3 linked regions of the Callithrix jacchus genome follow. The protein of the gene in region 3 interacts with the protein of the main gene of each other region in a pairwise test. Links are inferred from orthologs where the notes say so. Each region holds a gene or a part of one and is shown on either strand. Other genes may lie near its edges. The genes, in order: STX11, CCDC102B and PPP1R18.

The links.
Region 1: the proteins of PPP1R18 (region 3) and STX11 interact in binary tests that used the Homo sapiens proteins (3 or more experiments, as listed by UniProt). The two-hybrid records come from large-scale screens. The link is inferred for Callithrix jacchus from reciprocal best matches to the Homo sapiens genes PPP1R18 and STX11.
Region 2: the proteins of PPP1R18 (region 3) and CCDC102B interact in binary tests that used the Homo sapiens proteins (3 or more experiments, as listed by UniProt). The two-hybrid records come from large-scale screens. The link is inferred for Callithrix jacchus from reciprocal best matches to the Homo sapiens genes PPP1R18 and CCDC102B.

What each region holds. Positions count from the first base shown.
Region 1 is NC_133505.1:150,901,878-150,906,790, reverse strand, and holds the start of STX11 (syntaxin-11), read right to left. Parts: upstream 3,174-4,913; 5' UTR 2,968-3,173; intron 1-2,967. UniProt on the Homo sapiens protein: SNARE that acts to regulate protein transport between late endosomes and the trans-Golgi network.
Region 2 is NC_133514.1:111,491,931-111,496,743, reverse strand, and holds part of CCDC102B (coiled-coil domain-containing protein 102B), read right to left. Parts: intron 3,426-4,813; coding exon 2,805-3,425; intron 381-2,804; coding exon 160-380; intron 1-159. UniProt on the Homo sapiens protein: During interphase, forms fibers at the proximal ends of centrioles to maintain centrosome cohesion. During mitosis, dissociates from the centrosome following phosphorylation to allow centrosome separation. Contributes to CROCC/rootletin filament formation.
Region 3 is NC_133505.1:35,482,474-35,487,386, forward strand, and holds the start of PPP1R18 (phostensin), read right to left. Parts: upstream 3,268-4,913; 5' UTR 2,976-3,267; coding exon 2,917-2,975; intron 2,131-2,916; coding exon 498-2,130; intron 1-497.

The sequences.
Region 1 (4,913 bases), about 120 Mb from region 3:
TAAGTTTTGCTATTGTTTTTTCAAACACATACCTGACAGTATCATTCACTTGTTCAAAGGCCTCAGTACTCAGTACTATAAACCCTCAGGTCCCACATGGCTTATGGGCCTTTGTGATCTGGCCCTTCCTGTCTCCGCAGCCCTTACTCTGTGCTGTCACTAAACAGGCTGGAGTTTCCCGAACGTCCAGTGCTGTTTCACTTCTCTATGTGTGCTGTTCCTTCTGCTGGGTCACCTATCCTTCCACCTGCCTGAAAATTCATCCTCCTATATGAAAGTTCATATTTCATCAACAAATGATGAAATAAATAAATCATCAATAAAATTTATGGATGAAATCAATATATTCATCACTTTCTTACACCTATCATTAGTCAAACCTGGGCCAAATTCAGGGAGTACAATGCTGAATAATATACTCCACTCTTTCTTCCTCATAGAAAAAGTAACCTTAGGGGTCTCAAAGGAGGAAGAAAGTTTGGAAATTAAGGCCAATTTGTCTCCAATTTAGCATTGTTACCTTTACTAGTTGGGTATCTTAGCAAACTGGGGAAACTTGGAAACCTTGATACTTGGGCATCAAGTCTAAAAGCCTCTCAGCAGATTTCAATTGCAACAGTAAACTGTGATACAGTATGTTTATGCATTTGGGCTCATATGGCTATAACGTGCTAAAAACATTGATTTGAACTGCAAAAACAATGATCAGAAACTTGCCTCAATATAGTGTTATCAATTTATAAACTATTAGGCAGGGCATGGTGGCTCACACCTGCAATCTCAGCGCTTTGGGAGGTCAAGGTGAGCAGCTCACCTGCAGTCAGGAGTTTGAGACCAGCTGGGCCAACAGGACAAAACCTTGACTCTACTAAAAATACAAAAACTAGCCGGTTGTTGTGGTGGGAGCTGGTAGTCCCAGCTACTTGGGAGGCTGAAGGACGAGAATTGCTTGAATGCGGGAGGTGGAGATTCCAGCAAGCCAAGATTGCGCCACTACACTCCAGCCTGGGCAACAGAGTGAGACTCTCTCAAAACAAAACAAAACAAAACAACCTATTAATTAGTCATACTATTTTCTAAAAGTCATGCTGTTAACTAAAGGTGACTGCAATTGTCCAGGGGTGATAATCAGCTGAGTTTAGTTTCACATGGTTATTAAATAGTATGAAATATGGTTCATTCAAATGCTTTAAAAACCATACCTTTCTAATTCATATTTTTTAAATCATGTATCAAATGAAGAATAGGCTGCCTACAAAGACAAGTAAATGAGTCAACTCAAAAGCTTCCTCGCTTTTCCAGCCATGACCCAGTCCATTCCAAATCCCAGATCTGCAGAAACATCAGTCATATTGGGACAGAAACTTCACTCTGGGCATAGATGTACCCTAGCACATATATAATGGATTTTCCAGTGTATTTAAATAAACTATTATTTAGTCACACTATTTCCTAAAAGTCACACTATGAACTAAAGGTGACTGTAATTATCTAGGGGTAGTAACTGGCTGTTTAATTTTTAAATACACTGGGACCCAGCTTACTGAGTTATATTGGGACAGAAACATCCATCTGGGTGTAGATTTACCCTAGCAGCTTGTCAGCAGGATCCTTTTATTCCTAGTTGCACAAGCAAGGTTCAGAGAAGAGGCTGGCACAGAGAAGGTGCCTGGTAACTGTTGTTTGGGGCTGAACTCAGCTCAACTCAGCTCCAGTAGAGATGGTGCTCCCTTTTCTATCATGTTGAGAGCCTGTGCAGACCTTGCCTAAGCGCTGCTACCCACTACAATGGGACCTGTGAGTTTCAACTTTTAAATTTCTCTGCTCCTGCTGGGACCTACCCACTTCAAAAATCGTCGTGTGGTTTTAGCATCAATTTAGTAAATACAAATTGTTAGAAATATTTTGATTTTAGAGAGTTACAGTCACCACATTAAATGATACATTTCTACCATGCAGTGAAAATGAGGACAAAATGGTCACTAGATACTGAAATTAATTTTCCCTTGGGCTTCTGTGGCAAAGCACATGATTTTAATGGTTATCTTAGATCAGCCCAGTGACCTTTACTGGCATGTTGTAACATCAGGCGCCTTAGGAAACTGAAAACTCAAATCATCACTACCCATACCACTGCCCCAGGTTAGCAGGGCAGGCATTTCACATCTAGAGCCTCATTTTAAATACAGACAGAGCAAGCCTCGCTTTTCAAAAAGTTCATTAACAAAGTCTCACAATTAAGAGAGCAGCCGTGTGACTCATTTTTGGATACCCGTAAATAACAACTCCTCCCTTTGCTGAGAAACGGCTGAAACAAGTGCGTGAGAACCACAGGAAGTAATACAGAGCTCAGCTGGTGTCAGAGGAGTCTAGAAAAAGGCAGAATTCCCTCTTGGACAGAGTGGTTCTCGCAGGATTGCCACTACCCTTCCTCTCCATTTTTCTAAAACAAAGTCTTATGTGGGCTTTGAAGGGACTGCTCCAAGGCTCTATCAATTTCTCCGTCTCTCCCGGCTTCTGGGTGACAGTGCCAAGTTCAAGTCAAGAGGTACCCATTCTGGTGTTTTTGACACAGTCACCCTAATAGGAAATGAAGAGGTGATAACAAAGAAACACTTCAGCCTTTCAACTTAAAGGTAGTCTTAGGTGGACGCTTTATAAAGGCAGCCTACCAACGGGTATCCCTAAAATAATTCCTATGAAGCGCTAAATTCTCAGTCCCTTGGCCTCTGAAATTAAAAGTAATTCAAAAAATATCATTCCGCTTTATATGAGAAACCCAGTGCTGTGTTCTCGAAGGTGCCCAGAGGCGGCGTGAGGCCCTGCACCAAAACCCACTAAGGCACCGCCGCGGATCCGGAGCCCAGACAGTGTCCCCGCCCCGGCCCGCCCACCTCCCCGCACTCTCCGCGCACCGGGAATAGGTAGAGAAATGGGGAGCTCAGGGACAGAAAAACAAACCAGTACCCGGAGCGAGAGTTCGAACCGAGAAGCCCCTATCCCGGCCGGGCGCTCGTCCCCCGTGGGCGCCGCGTTGGGGAAGGAAACCTGTTGCGCGACTCCCGGCGGCTCGGCTCCCGGCGCCTCCCGCGTCCCCTGCGGCAGAGGCTGGGCTCCTTCACTGCGGCCCGAGCTCCGCCCCGCCGCGGCCGCATCTGGGCGCCGCCGGCTCTGCCCTAGCCGCTTAGGAAGCGACCACAGCTGGGGACAAGGCCCCGCCCCGGGATGACAGCGCCGGGGCGCGGCGGCTCGCGGAGCGCAGGTTCCCGCCCCGCCCGGAGTCCCTGCGCTCGGGACCGCCCGGAGCCGGGGACGCGCTCCAGCACCTCCCGTACGTCTCGGGGAGTTCCCGCGGGCGGAGCGGACCCTCGCGGGGAGTGGGAGGTTTGCAGCCAGAGGCACTTCCTCTGCTCATCCTCCGGTTCCTAGGGCAGGGAGCGCGGTGGACTTTCCCCGGGAATCCCCGCTGCGCTGATGACATTTGCCGTCCGGTGCGTTTCCGCGGCGAGGACGGTGGAAGCGGTCTCTGAGCGTGGGTGTGGCTGCCGAGGCTGCAGCAGGTCCTGCACCCCCTGGACCTTCCAGGAGGCGGGCAAGGAGCCTGCGGTCACACAGCGGCCGACCACCGCCTTCCCAGAACCCGGCGGCCAACCCCTCTCCAGTCGGCCTCAGGACCCTACGGGCTCATCATTCCCTGGATATTAGCTGAGCGTCCCCTTGTGTGCCCAGGGTACCACCGCTCTCAAAAATACTGCCAAGACCCCCCCTCCAGGTCCTGGCACTTTAATGGGGAGACATAAACAAAGTGTGGATTGTGCCAGGTGGCGGTAAGCACCTTGAAAAACAAAGGTGAGGCTGAAAAGTAAGTGAGATTCAAAAAGGGAAATCGGGCCAGGCGCGGTGACTCGCGCCCATAACCTAGCACTTTGGGAGGCTGAGGTGGGAGGATCGCTTGAGCCCAGGAGTTTGAGACCAGTCTGAACAATATGGTGAAAGCCCATCTCTACAAAAAATACAAAAATTAGCTGAGCATGGTGGCGCGCCTCTGTGGTCCCAGCTACTCGCGACGCTAAGGTGGGAGGATCACTTGAGCCCAGGAGGTCAAGCATGCAGTGAGCCTAGATCCTGCCACTGCACTTCAGCCTGGGCAAAAGAATGAGAAGGAAAAATAAAAATAAAAAACGAATCCTGCCTTGATGGGAGAATGTTTAAACACAGAACTACCTGAAAGAGCTCCCAGTTGCCAAAGATGGAACCATTTGAGCAACGAAGTAAACTAAACAAAGTCTTATTGGATTAAAAGCCAAAGTAAAAAATATCCATGAGTCTACACTCATATAAATAAATAATTGAATAAATAAATAAAAGGCAGAGAGGAGACAAATCTCCTACACAGAATAATTCCAAATAATTTATGTAGATCATCTACCGTAGGCAGTGCACAGTGACTTCCTCCAAAATAGTACAGTATGGAAAGGGGAAAAGAGTAGCTTTACAATGGAGAAAGCTGACAGACACTACGCCAGCCAGATGTTCTAAGTAAACGTCAACAATCATGAATTATATTGATGACATGTAGTTAATACAATGTGATGAATATGGCCCATTACCTCTGTGGTCTTCCTCCCCAAAACCCATAACCACTGTCTCATAATGAGAAAAATACCAAACTAATTTCAATAGTGGGACATCCTACAAAATACCTGACCATATTCCTCGAAGTTGTCAGGTTATCAAAAGTAAGAAAAGTACAGTCCAGACGTGGTGGTTCACACCTGTAATCCCAGCACTGTGGGAAGCTGAAGCGAGAGGATTGCTTAAGGCCAGGAGTTCAAGACCTGGTCTGGCCAACATAGCAAGACCCTGTCTCTACAAAAATTAAAAATAAAAATAAGGAAAGTCTGAAAAACTGC
Region 2 (4,813 bases), on a different chromosome or scaffold from region 3:
TCAAAATTCAAAATATATGTCAAACTAATTTATTTAAATACTAAAACGTAACGACTAAACATGGATAAAATACATTAACAAATGATCGATCTATCAGTGTTAACAATTTTAAGTGGTTTGAAACAGACTTGGTTAAGGTAGAGAATGATTAGCACTTACTCTCTTTCTTTCCATAAGATTTTTTGGAACTCATTCAAATGCACCTGCAAAGCTGAAATTTCAGTTACTTGATTATCCAAAGGCAGATTTATTGCTTTCAGTTTCAGCCCAGGTTTCATTTCACCATTTCCAGAGCCACCATTCTTGAATAAATCAACACTATCTAGATTAGGTTTCATCTCGTCATTTAATTTTAAAGAATCAATAACCGCTCCTTCTTCCTGAAAAAATAAAACAATTATGGTGGATATTTAAACCCCTTAGGAGAAAAATCATGACAACAATACAATTTCATAAAGAAATAAACGTTACAATACAGCATCAAATCCATATTTTTATTTCATTATCAGTACCTAAAAGTGTTACGTGGCTGAACTTACTTGAGTTCTTCTTCAAACTTTTCTATGTTCTTCCTTGTTATAATAAAATACATTTCTAAAAGGGTCTGCTTTACCTCTTTGTTTGTTTTCTTTTTCTAATCATAGCTAAAAATAACCATGCACAAAGTTGAACAGCTGAAAAGAATTTTTTAATGAGTTGATGAATTCTTTTTCAAGTTTCTTTTGTCATAAGAAAGACATAGTTTCAAAGTAATTATTTTTGTAACATTTTTGAAAGACGATAGAATTTTCAGAAAGCTCTTGAATATTTCAATAAGCTCACTTATTGCTTTATTTTAGTTAATGAGTCACATCTCAAATAGAATTTAATGGGACACTTGATACGGACATCAATACTAGAGCAGCAACTGCGTCAATATTCTTAGTGCGTAACTCAAAAGCTTCACAGGACTCATGCTATTGGTATTTGACTATAATTTAAATTTACCCTAGTTTATAAGTTCGAAGTGAAAGACAATTTCAAATAAAATCTCATTGAATAATCAAGTTTAAGTAAAATCTCCAGAATGCTTCAATATTTTATGTTTTAAATAATATATGGGTGCCAGATTACCTAGTATAATTCATTCCTCAATTCTCTCAAGAATGAGTATTGCAATTATCTGTATCATAATATTTTGACAAACAATAAAATAAGATGTATTGTTCATGGAAAGTATTGAAGTCAGATGAATGATACATATACATATCTTTCTTGTTGGGCATAGAGTTGGCAAAGTTAGGTCAAAGTTTTAAGGAAAAAAATGATTAAAACTTCTTCAACAGGTAATATTTATTTTCCTACTATCAGAAGGAAATTCCAGAAGGATTTTTTGCAAATAAATAAAGTTTAATAAATACCTACTATGTTTGATTTCTTCTTGACATTAATGTTACAAAGATATTTCAGAAGAAATCCCAAGATACTGAGAATTTTCCATAATAATACATGTGAAGAGAATCCTTCATTCTCTCAAATGCAAAGTCTAGTAACTTGTAATAATAAAAAAGTCTTGTGGATTCAGAGAACATTATGTGAGCTACATTCCCTTATGCTTGTCATTACATTCCTCTAGCGCATACATTAATATAGCTGAATTTCGAGAATATATGATTTTCCAAAAGATACATACAAAGGTACTAACAGCCTAGATTATCAACATTGAATGCTTTTAAAAGAAAATGTAAAAGAACAAATAAGAAGAAGTAATTACATTATTGTAATCTTCTTCATTATTTTATTTGCAATGAATTCTAGTTTTTATCTACCATAAATTCTATATGTTATAGAATGGCTTAAAACACTAAATGCAATGGTAGTGGTGCCAGATATTAACTAATATGTATTAGAGGTGGGATAAAGTAAAAGAGGTAACAAAATAAACTGATATTATGATAAGAGGTAACAGGAGTTCCCAAAGTATGTTCTTTGGGTTGTTAATAGTATTTACCAAGTTCAAACAAACAAAACAGAGTGGCGGTTCATGGGTGAATAAGTGTACAAACTGATAGACGTTTTAAAGTTACACTTGTTTTGTGCAGAATTCTCAGAAACTGATATTCTAAGTATATCAAGAAATTCCATCAGTGTGGACCATATGAAGCATTTCCTAAAGTACCCTATTTGCCTGCAGTACCCATTTTATAAGAAGTTAATCATGAGGCTTGAGTCCCAAACTTTGAGAAATATTCAAACTACACTATGGATTGTTCACAATTTTGACAAATTAAGGTAAATGGAAAGAAATGTCTCCAAATATTTTCTTTTCGGATAAAAAATTGTTGAGTTTTTTTCCCTATTAATATTAGTAAAACAACTGGTATGGGCTGAAAGTGTGCTTTCCCAAAATTTATTTGTTGAAGTCCTAGCCCCCAGTACCTCAGAATGTGATTGTTAGTAAAGACAGGGCCTTAGGATGATGATTTAGTTAAATTAGGTTCATTAGACTGTCCTAAAAGAACTTAAGACACAGACATGTGTACAGAGAAAGGACCATGGAAGACACGGGGAGAAATCAGTATTCTATAAGCCAAGGAGGGAGGCCTCAGAAGAAACCAACCATGCTAGCACCTTGATCGTGTACTACTAGCTTCTACAATTGTAAGAAAATGCATTTCTGTTGCTTAAAGCACCCTGATTAGGGTACTTTGTGACGGTAGCCCTGGCAGACTAGCATAGTCACCACTGGATTTGTCACTTCCTTCTTCCTCCCGTCACTACGTATGACATTCAGAAATTCACATCAACTCTGGATTCTTTCTTACCTTATTATTTGTTTCCTCCTTTGTAGAAAATTGTCTTTTTACTAAACACTCTCTGATAGACTCACACATTTGAAAACCAAATCGAAATTGTTCTCTATGTTCACAGGATTCTTCTACGAAACCAGGAAGCTTCAGATCCTGGGTGATTTTAGCTTCTAATGCCTCCTTCTGAGGTGGCAAACTCTGTTTCTTTTTCAGTGTACTCAATTCTTTCATTGCCATCTCTAGTTTTAGCCTGAGTTGTCTTCCTTCCTCCCTGGCACTGTTCCTTTCCGCTCGAACTTTACTCCATTTTTCTCTCCAGTTGGCAGTGCAGTCCGACCACCACCGCATGGTCTTTTCCATCTGAGCAGCTCTGGCCTTGACTTCTTCAAGTTCCCGGAGGCGAAGTTCTTCACAAATATCCCATTCATTGGTGTTACATGAATGTGCACATAAATTGTGAGCAGCATGAGACTGTAGCCCATAAAATGGGAAGCAGGTATTATAGGTATCCCTGGTGGGTGAGGCAGGTGCCACCATGTCACAGTGTGACTTAATTGATGACTGCTGCATCTGGAAGATCTGTGTTTCCTCAATTAACCGATGAATGGAATCTAAATTCATATTTATCGTTAAGACCTAAGAAAAGATAGAGAACATAATTTCACTCTGAAATTTCCCTTGCAATTACAAGAACAAGACCTACATTTTCGAAAATTTATGAAAGCAATGCATCTTTTCTAAAAAAAGAAAAAATACATTGCTTTACATGCATTTGTTTGTTTGTGTGTCTCCTGCTTTGCTTTTTTTCTTTTTTGCTTGTTCTTTTATTTTCCTTTTAGTTTTCTTTTTTTTTTTTTTTTGAGACAGAATCTTGCTCTGTTACCAGGCTGGAGTGTAGTAGCCCAATCTTGGCTCACTGCAACCTCTGCCTCCCAGATTCAAGCAATTCCCCTGCCTCAGCCTTCCGAGTAGCCGGAGTTACAGGCATGTGCCACCACACCTGGCTAAATTTTGTGTTTTAGTAGAGATGGGGTTTCACCATCTTGGCCAGGCTGGTCTTGAACTGACCTCATGATCCACCTGCCTCGGCCTCTCAAAGTGCTGGGATTACAGGCGTGAGCCACCACATCCAGCCCCATCTTTTCAATATTGCATATTTTTCCAGTGTAGCTAAAAATATGGAGGAATTTAAACATTTGTAACTATCCACTAAGAAATAGAAAATGCTCATATTCAATTTTGCCAAACAAATACAAGTCAAAATATAAAGATACAATTTCAGATAGCATATGACATAAAAAAAAATTCATTTTGACAAATCCAGTTCTATTCAGGTCCTATCTATTAGAAGATTGTCCACTACAAAATACAAACTGTAATATTTCAGGTCCAATAACTACTTAATAGTTTTCTTTTTTCCTGCTAATTAAGCCTCAATTATTTCAGGCAGAATGCGGAACCTATTGATCTATGGGCGAATAAGCCTCTATCCCAATCCCAGAGGTTAAACCATAGTCTACCTTTTCCATGATGCCCTTCATCTATTGACTGTTGACTACTTTCATGACAGGGCTATGGCCTGGCTCTGGCTGCTGGGATGTGAGATGAAGTATACTGAGGTTTCCCCATCTAGAAAAATATGTGAACATCACAATGAGGAACTTTCTTTCCTCTGCCTTCCTCGTGTTTGAAAAAGGATGTGGTTCTGGAAGAAAGTAAGTTTAAGAGGCTTCTCATAACATTCAAAGTGGTGAATCATAAAGATAAAGAGGTGATTTAAGGTGTGAATTGTGGCATGAAATCTAGAATGCATACCTCTGACTTCTTTACTATGTGAGCAGGATAACCTATATTTAAGTTATGACAGTCGAGTTTTCTGTTACTTTCAAGCAAAAGCACATCTAACTTATACATGAATTAATTTATTACTGTTGTTAATATTGTGATAAGCTCTAAAAATAAAATATTATGAAAAAGACATGATTTTTGTGTGTCAAAGATTTTGCAGTCTGGTGGATCAGACA
Region 3 (4,913 bases):
CTTCCTCCATTCACTTCTCCCTGCAATTTCTCCCTAGAACCCAAAACTCACCCCCTCCACACCCCAGGCTCCCTACCCCTTCTCCCCAGAAAAACTGCAAGTATTTTCACCTGGTGACCCTGCCCTCACTGAATCAAGCTTGTTCATTTGGGATCTCCCACTGGATGGGCTGGGGCAGGTCAAACTCAGGAAAGGAAGGAAAGAAAAGCGGGTAGGAAACTCAGAGCCTGAGGGAAGGGACAATGAGCAGCCGGCACACCCTGAAAGAGACACACCCAGAGACAGCCTTTGCTGGGACAGGATCTTTTGGGTTCAAAATGGAAAAGGAGGGCTCAGAGAAGGAAGGGTGTGTGTGCAAAGGGAGGAAGGGTGGTGGCAGGAATTGACAAGAAATAATAGAGGAAAACAAGAATACAGGGGTATAAAAAAGAAAGACCGGCATCCAGAGAGAATTGACAAGTGGGCTTCTAAGAAGTCTGGCTCGGCTGTTCCCCTACCTGTTTGTGGTGTCTTTCGGGGGACCCCTTGGCAAGGCAGCTGCGGCTGAGACGGAGGTAGCCCCCCAGAACCAAGATCTCCTCGGCAGTTGGGTACCGCTTCTTCCCAGCCCCCAGGGCTGCAGCATCAGCTGTGGCTGGAGAGGCTGGGGTGGCTGGGGGAGTCGTAGGGAGCACAGACCGCCGGGGGTTGACGGTGAAGGTGTGTCCACTGCGGCGGGGGGCCCCCACCCCTGGCCCTGCTTTCACCCCATAGAACAGGCGGCTCATGAGGGGATCCCCAGGAGGTTGGGGGGCAGCTGGGGCTGGGGGTGGGGGAGATAGAGGGGCTGGTGGTGGGGGCTGGAGTTCCACTGCTTCTTCTTCCTGCTGTCTCAGGCCTCCAGTCCCAGCGTCCTCTGGTGGGAGGGGGGAGGGCACAGAGCAGCAGTTCTGCAGGGCTCTCAGAGGCCTGCCCTGAGCTCCCGCCTCCTCCTTCTCAGCCTCCCCTTCTCCAGCTTCCACACCGGGAGGCTCCAGACGCTTTTCCACTGACTCTGGAGGTTCTGGTTTCTGAGTTTGAGCCTCGTTGTCGTTGGGTGTCCATTCTCGAGCGTTCCCAGAGTTCAGGGTCCATTTCCACCCTTCTGTTGGCTTCATGCCCCTCTCACTGTCTCCCATAGGCCTCTGTTCTGCAGCCTCCACTCCTGCAGAACTGCTGCCTTGGGCCTCCTTTGTCAGGGTCTCTGACAGCTCTGTAGTCTCTTCTGGGGCCACCCCTGGAACTGGCCTCCCTTCTTTTCTCCTACATTCTTCTGAGTAGCCTTTTCTTTCTTCTCCTGACCTCAGCCTCCACTCTGTTGCCTCTGGTTGTACCAAACTCTGTTCCTGAGACTCTCTGGAGTCAGGTCTCCATTTATGGGCCTCTGTCAGGCCCAACTTCGGGTAGGCAGATTCCCCTGGGCTCAGTCTACTTTCCACCTCTTTTCTTCTGGGGCTTTGCTCTCGAGACTCTGCTAGTCTCAGACTCCGCTCTGGAGTTTCTACAGGACTCAGCCTCCATTTCCGTGCCTCTGACAGTCGGGAGCTCTTGTCTCCCGCCTCTCCTGGGCTTTGCCTCCAGTCCCGAGCCTCCAGAGGCCTCAGGCTCGACTCTTGGGCTCCCCCTATCCCCAGCCTCCTCTCTCTGGTCTCCCTGGGACTTAGTCTCTCTTCTCTTGACTCTCTTCTCTTGGGGCTCTGATCCCGCATCTCCCCAGGGCTGGGTCTCCGCTCCCGGGCCTCCAGAGATCCAGGCTTTCTCTCAGCTAGCAGCTCTTCACTCCGTTGCTGCTGCTGCTGCCGCTCCTGCCGGATGAATCGGTTCTGGTGCACTGGCCCGATGGCCTCCTGAAGGACCGCAGATTCATCTGTGTCTGCAGGTCCGGCTTCTGCAGTCCCTGGCACAGGGCTAGGCTCCCCAGGGGACAGCCCAAGCTTGGCCCGGCGGCGCTCCAGAAGCCCTCGCTTCCAGGCTGGCATCTGGGATAGGCGCTCCCGTTCTGCCTTCTCCCGGCCTCTAACGGACGCCTCCTCCTGCCGGCGCCGGGCTAACAGCTGTAGCTTCCAGTCTGGGATGGTGGTCATGGTCGCCTTGAGGTGAGGGTAGGGAGCACTGGGGGCAGAGAACAGGAAGAAGAGGCTCCAGAGAGGCCCAGGGAGTGAGACTGAGGGTGGGAGGGGAGGAAGTGGAGGGGGAGAGGTGGGACCACGAGCAGGGCAGAGGAGCTGAGGATGAGGACCAAGGGAAAGAGGGACGGCAGAGAACAGGGGAAATGGAAAAAGTGAAGAGAAGTTATGAGCCCAAGTTGGGGGTGGTGGGGGCGATGTGAGAGGAAGAGTCCAGATTGGAGGCAATGAGGACAGGAGCCAGATGTGGCAGTACAGGGTTAATGCGTATTAAAGACAGTCTCTAGGATGTGGGAAACAGAGAATGGGAGAAAAGAAAAGTTGCTATGAGGGTGAAAAGAGAAAAGGGGCAGGGATGAGGGGAACCCGGGTGCAGGCCTGGCTGCCTCAGCGATACCCCAGGGAGGTGAGTGTGGGAAGGAAGGACCGGGAATCCCTCCCGAGGAGGGCAACGGGACCTGAGGGGGTGTCGAGGAGGCAGGGAGGAGCGGAGAGCGAGCAGGTCTAGGGGAGAAGGGAAACCAGGGAAGAGGGGAAGGGAGCGCGGCGGTAGCGGCCGGGAGCGTCTCAGCGCGGGCCCCAAAGGTCCCTGCTCCGCTTCCAGTGCCGCTGGGGCCACGCCTCTCCCCAGCCCCCACCCCTCTGCCCCGCACTCCGCCCCCGAGGCGGGTCGGGGGAAATACCCACCCCGGGACTTTCGGAACCCGGGCGTCGGGGCTGCCAGCGCGTTCCCAGAACCCTGGTATCCACCCCCACCCAGTCCCGTCAATACCGCCTGCCTCCCCCGCCGTCTGCGCCCGGCGACCCCGGAGTGCCGAGGGCCGGCTCCATGCCTCTTCTCTCCAGCGCCTGCGAGTCCCATGCCCGGTCCCCGCTCTCATGGAGCCGTGACAGAGCCAGCTGTCTCCACCCCGCTCTGGCTGCACAGACTGACAATCTCGGCACAAAGAGGAGACAGCCAAGGTCCGGGCCAGGGACGGGAGCGAGGAGACACCCCCTCCCCAAGTCTAAGCCCCTCAGTCAACTCACACGCCGTGGGGCCCCCCTGGGAGGGGGTGCGGAGGAGCCGGGCGTCCAGAGAGAGGAAGAGGAGGAGAGAGGGACCGAGGGAGATCCGGAGACTGGAGGGAGGGGAGGAGGAGGGAGAGGAGGAGGGAAAGAGGCAGCAAAGGAGGAGGGACGGAGACAGAGATCAGGGGGCCGGGCGGGGGCGGCGACCGCTTTGTCTAAGGACAATGAGGAGAGGGAAGGGGGCGCAGGGCGGAGCCCGAGGGGAGGGCGGGGCTCCCTCCCACCGCGCGTGGGACTGGCTCTGGGACTGCCCCCTACTCGCCCCAACCCCTGGTCCTCTGCTCTGTGTCCCCAGGGGCCCTCAACCGCTTCCCTCCCGGTAGCCCTGAAGAACCCAGGTGTCCAGATCCCTTCCCCCAGCTCGCCGACCCAGGGCGGTGGCCCGTGACTCAGGCCCCTCGTGGGACTTTGGGAGGAAGCGGCAGCTGCTAGGAGCCGGGCCCGCCCTTCCCATCTCCTGCCTCTCAGCCCTCCCCGCGATTTTGCCTTCTCCGGCCAGTCTTTGTTTTTGCCGGGTCGAGGGCAGCCACCAGGAGGCCTTGAGGAGGGGGCGGCAGGAGAGGCGCTCAGAAGCCAGCAGTTTTGGAAGCTCGTTCTCCTACCAGAGCTGCTGTCCCCACTCTTTCTAGCTTCAACCTGCCTCCCATGAGTCTCTTGGTCAGCTGCGGGGTTGGGGAGTGGGGGAAGGGGATTTGAAGGAATGGGGACCCGGCCTCTCTGGCAAAGTGGGGGCGGGTCAGCGGGGGCGCGGTGGTCGAAGGCCAGCGGTTGCCAGAGGGCGTGGTGGCTGCCCAGACTCCACTTCGCGGGCTCGCAGGCTCCCTCTGGCTTTCCTTCCCAAACTCAGCCCTGCAGCTTGGGAGACACTGACAGACTACATGCAGTACGTAGAAAAATCAGGCTTTTATTTTCCTGCAGAGCATCCAGAACAGGAAGCCCCAAGTTAAGAACGGGAGAATCCTCTTGACTAGGTTCAGAGGCAGGGCCTAAGGAGGTGCAGACACTAGGGCCGGGAGTGCTGAGGCAAGGTGTGGGGCCTGGAGGGACAGCCACTGCCTTTGAACTTGCAGACCCTGGTCCAGCTTCTCGGAGTGGAAGCCAGAGGTGGCGAAGTGGGAGGGGGATCCCAGAGGCACAGAGAGAAGCAATGGTGCCCGCCAGCGGAATGGTCAGGGCAGATCCTTTCCTTCTAGGAGACTGTTGAAGGGGAGCATGCCATGCCCTAAACAGTGAGGAGACAGATGAATTCCATACCCTGCTCTTCCTTGCTGGTGAGATGTGGACTCTTGGAGTTCAGTGGCTGAAACTCAGAATTTAGAGTATGGAGCTGGACCCAGAGAATAAAGTAGCAAGTAGTGGAAGGGGCAACTCCTTTAGTCCATGGATTTGAGCCTCTGGCCTGAAGCAGCCAGGGCCTGGATGTTAAAGATTTAGAATTCAGGGGGAGAGAGACTGGGCGTGGTGGCTCATGCCTGTAATTCCAGCACTTTGGGAGACTAAGGCAGGCGGATCACAAGGTCAGCAGTTCAAGACCAGCCTGGCCGACATGACGAAACCCTGTCTCTACTAAAAATACAAAAATTAGCTGTGTGTTGTGGCGAGAGCCTGTAATACCAGCTGCTCAGGAGCCTGAGGCAGGAGAATCACTTGAACCTGGGAGGCGGAGGTTGCAGTGAGTCAAGATTGCGCCATTGAACT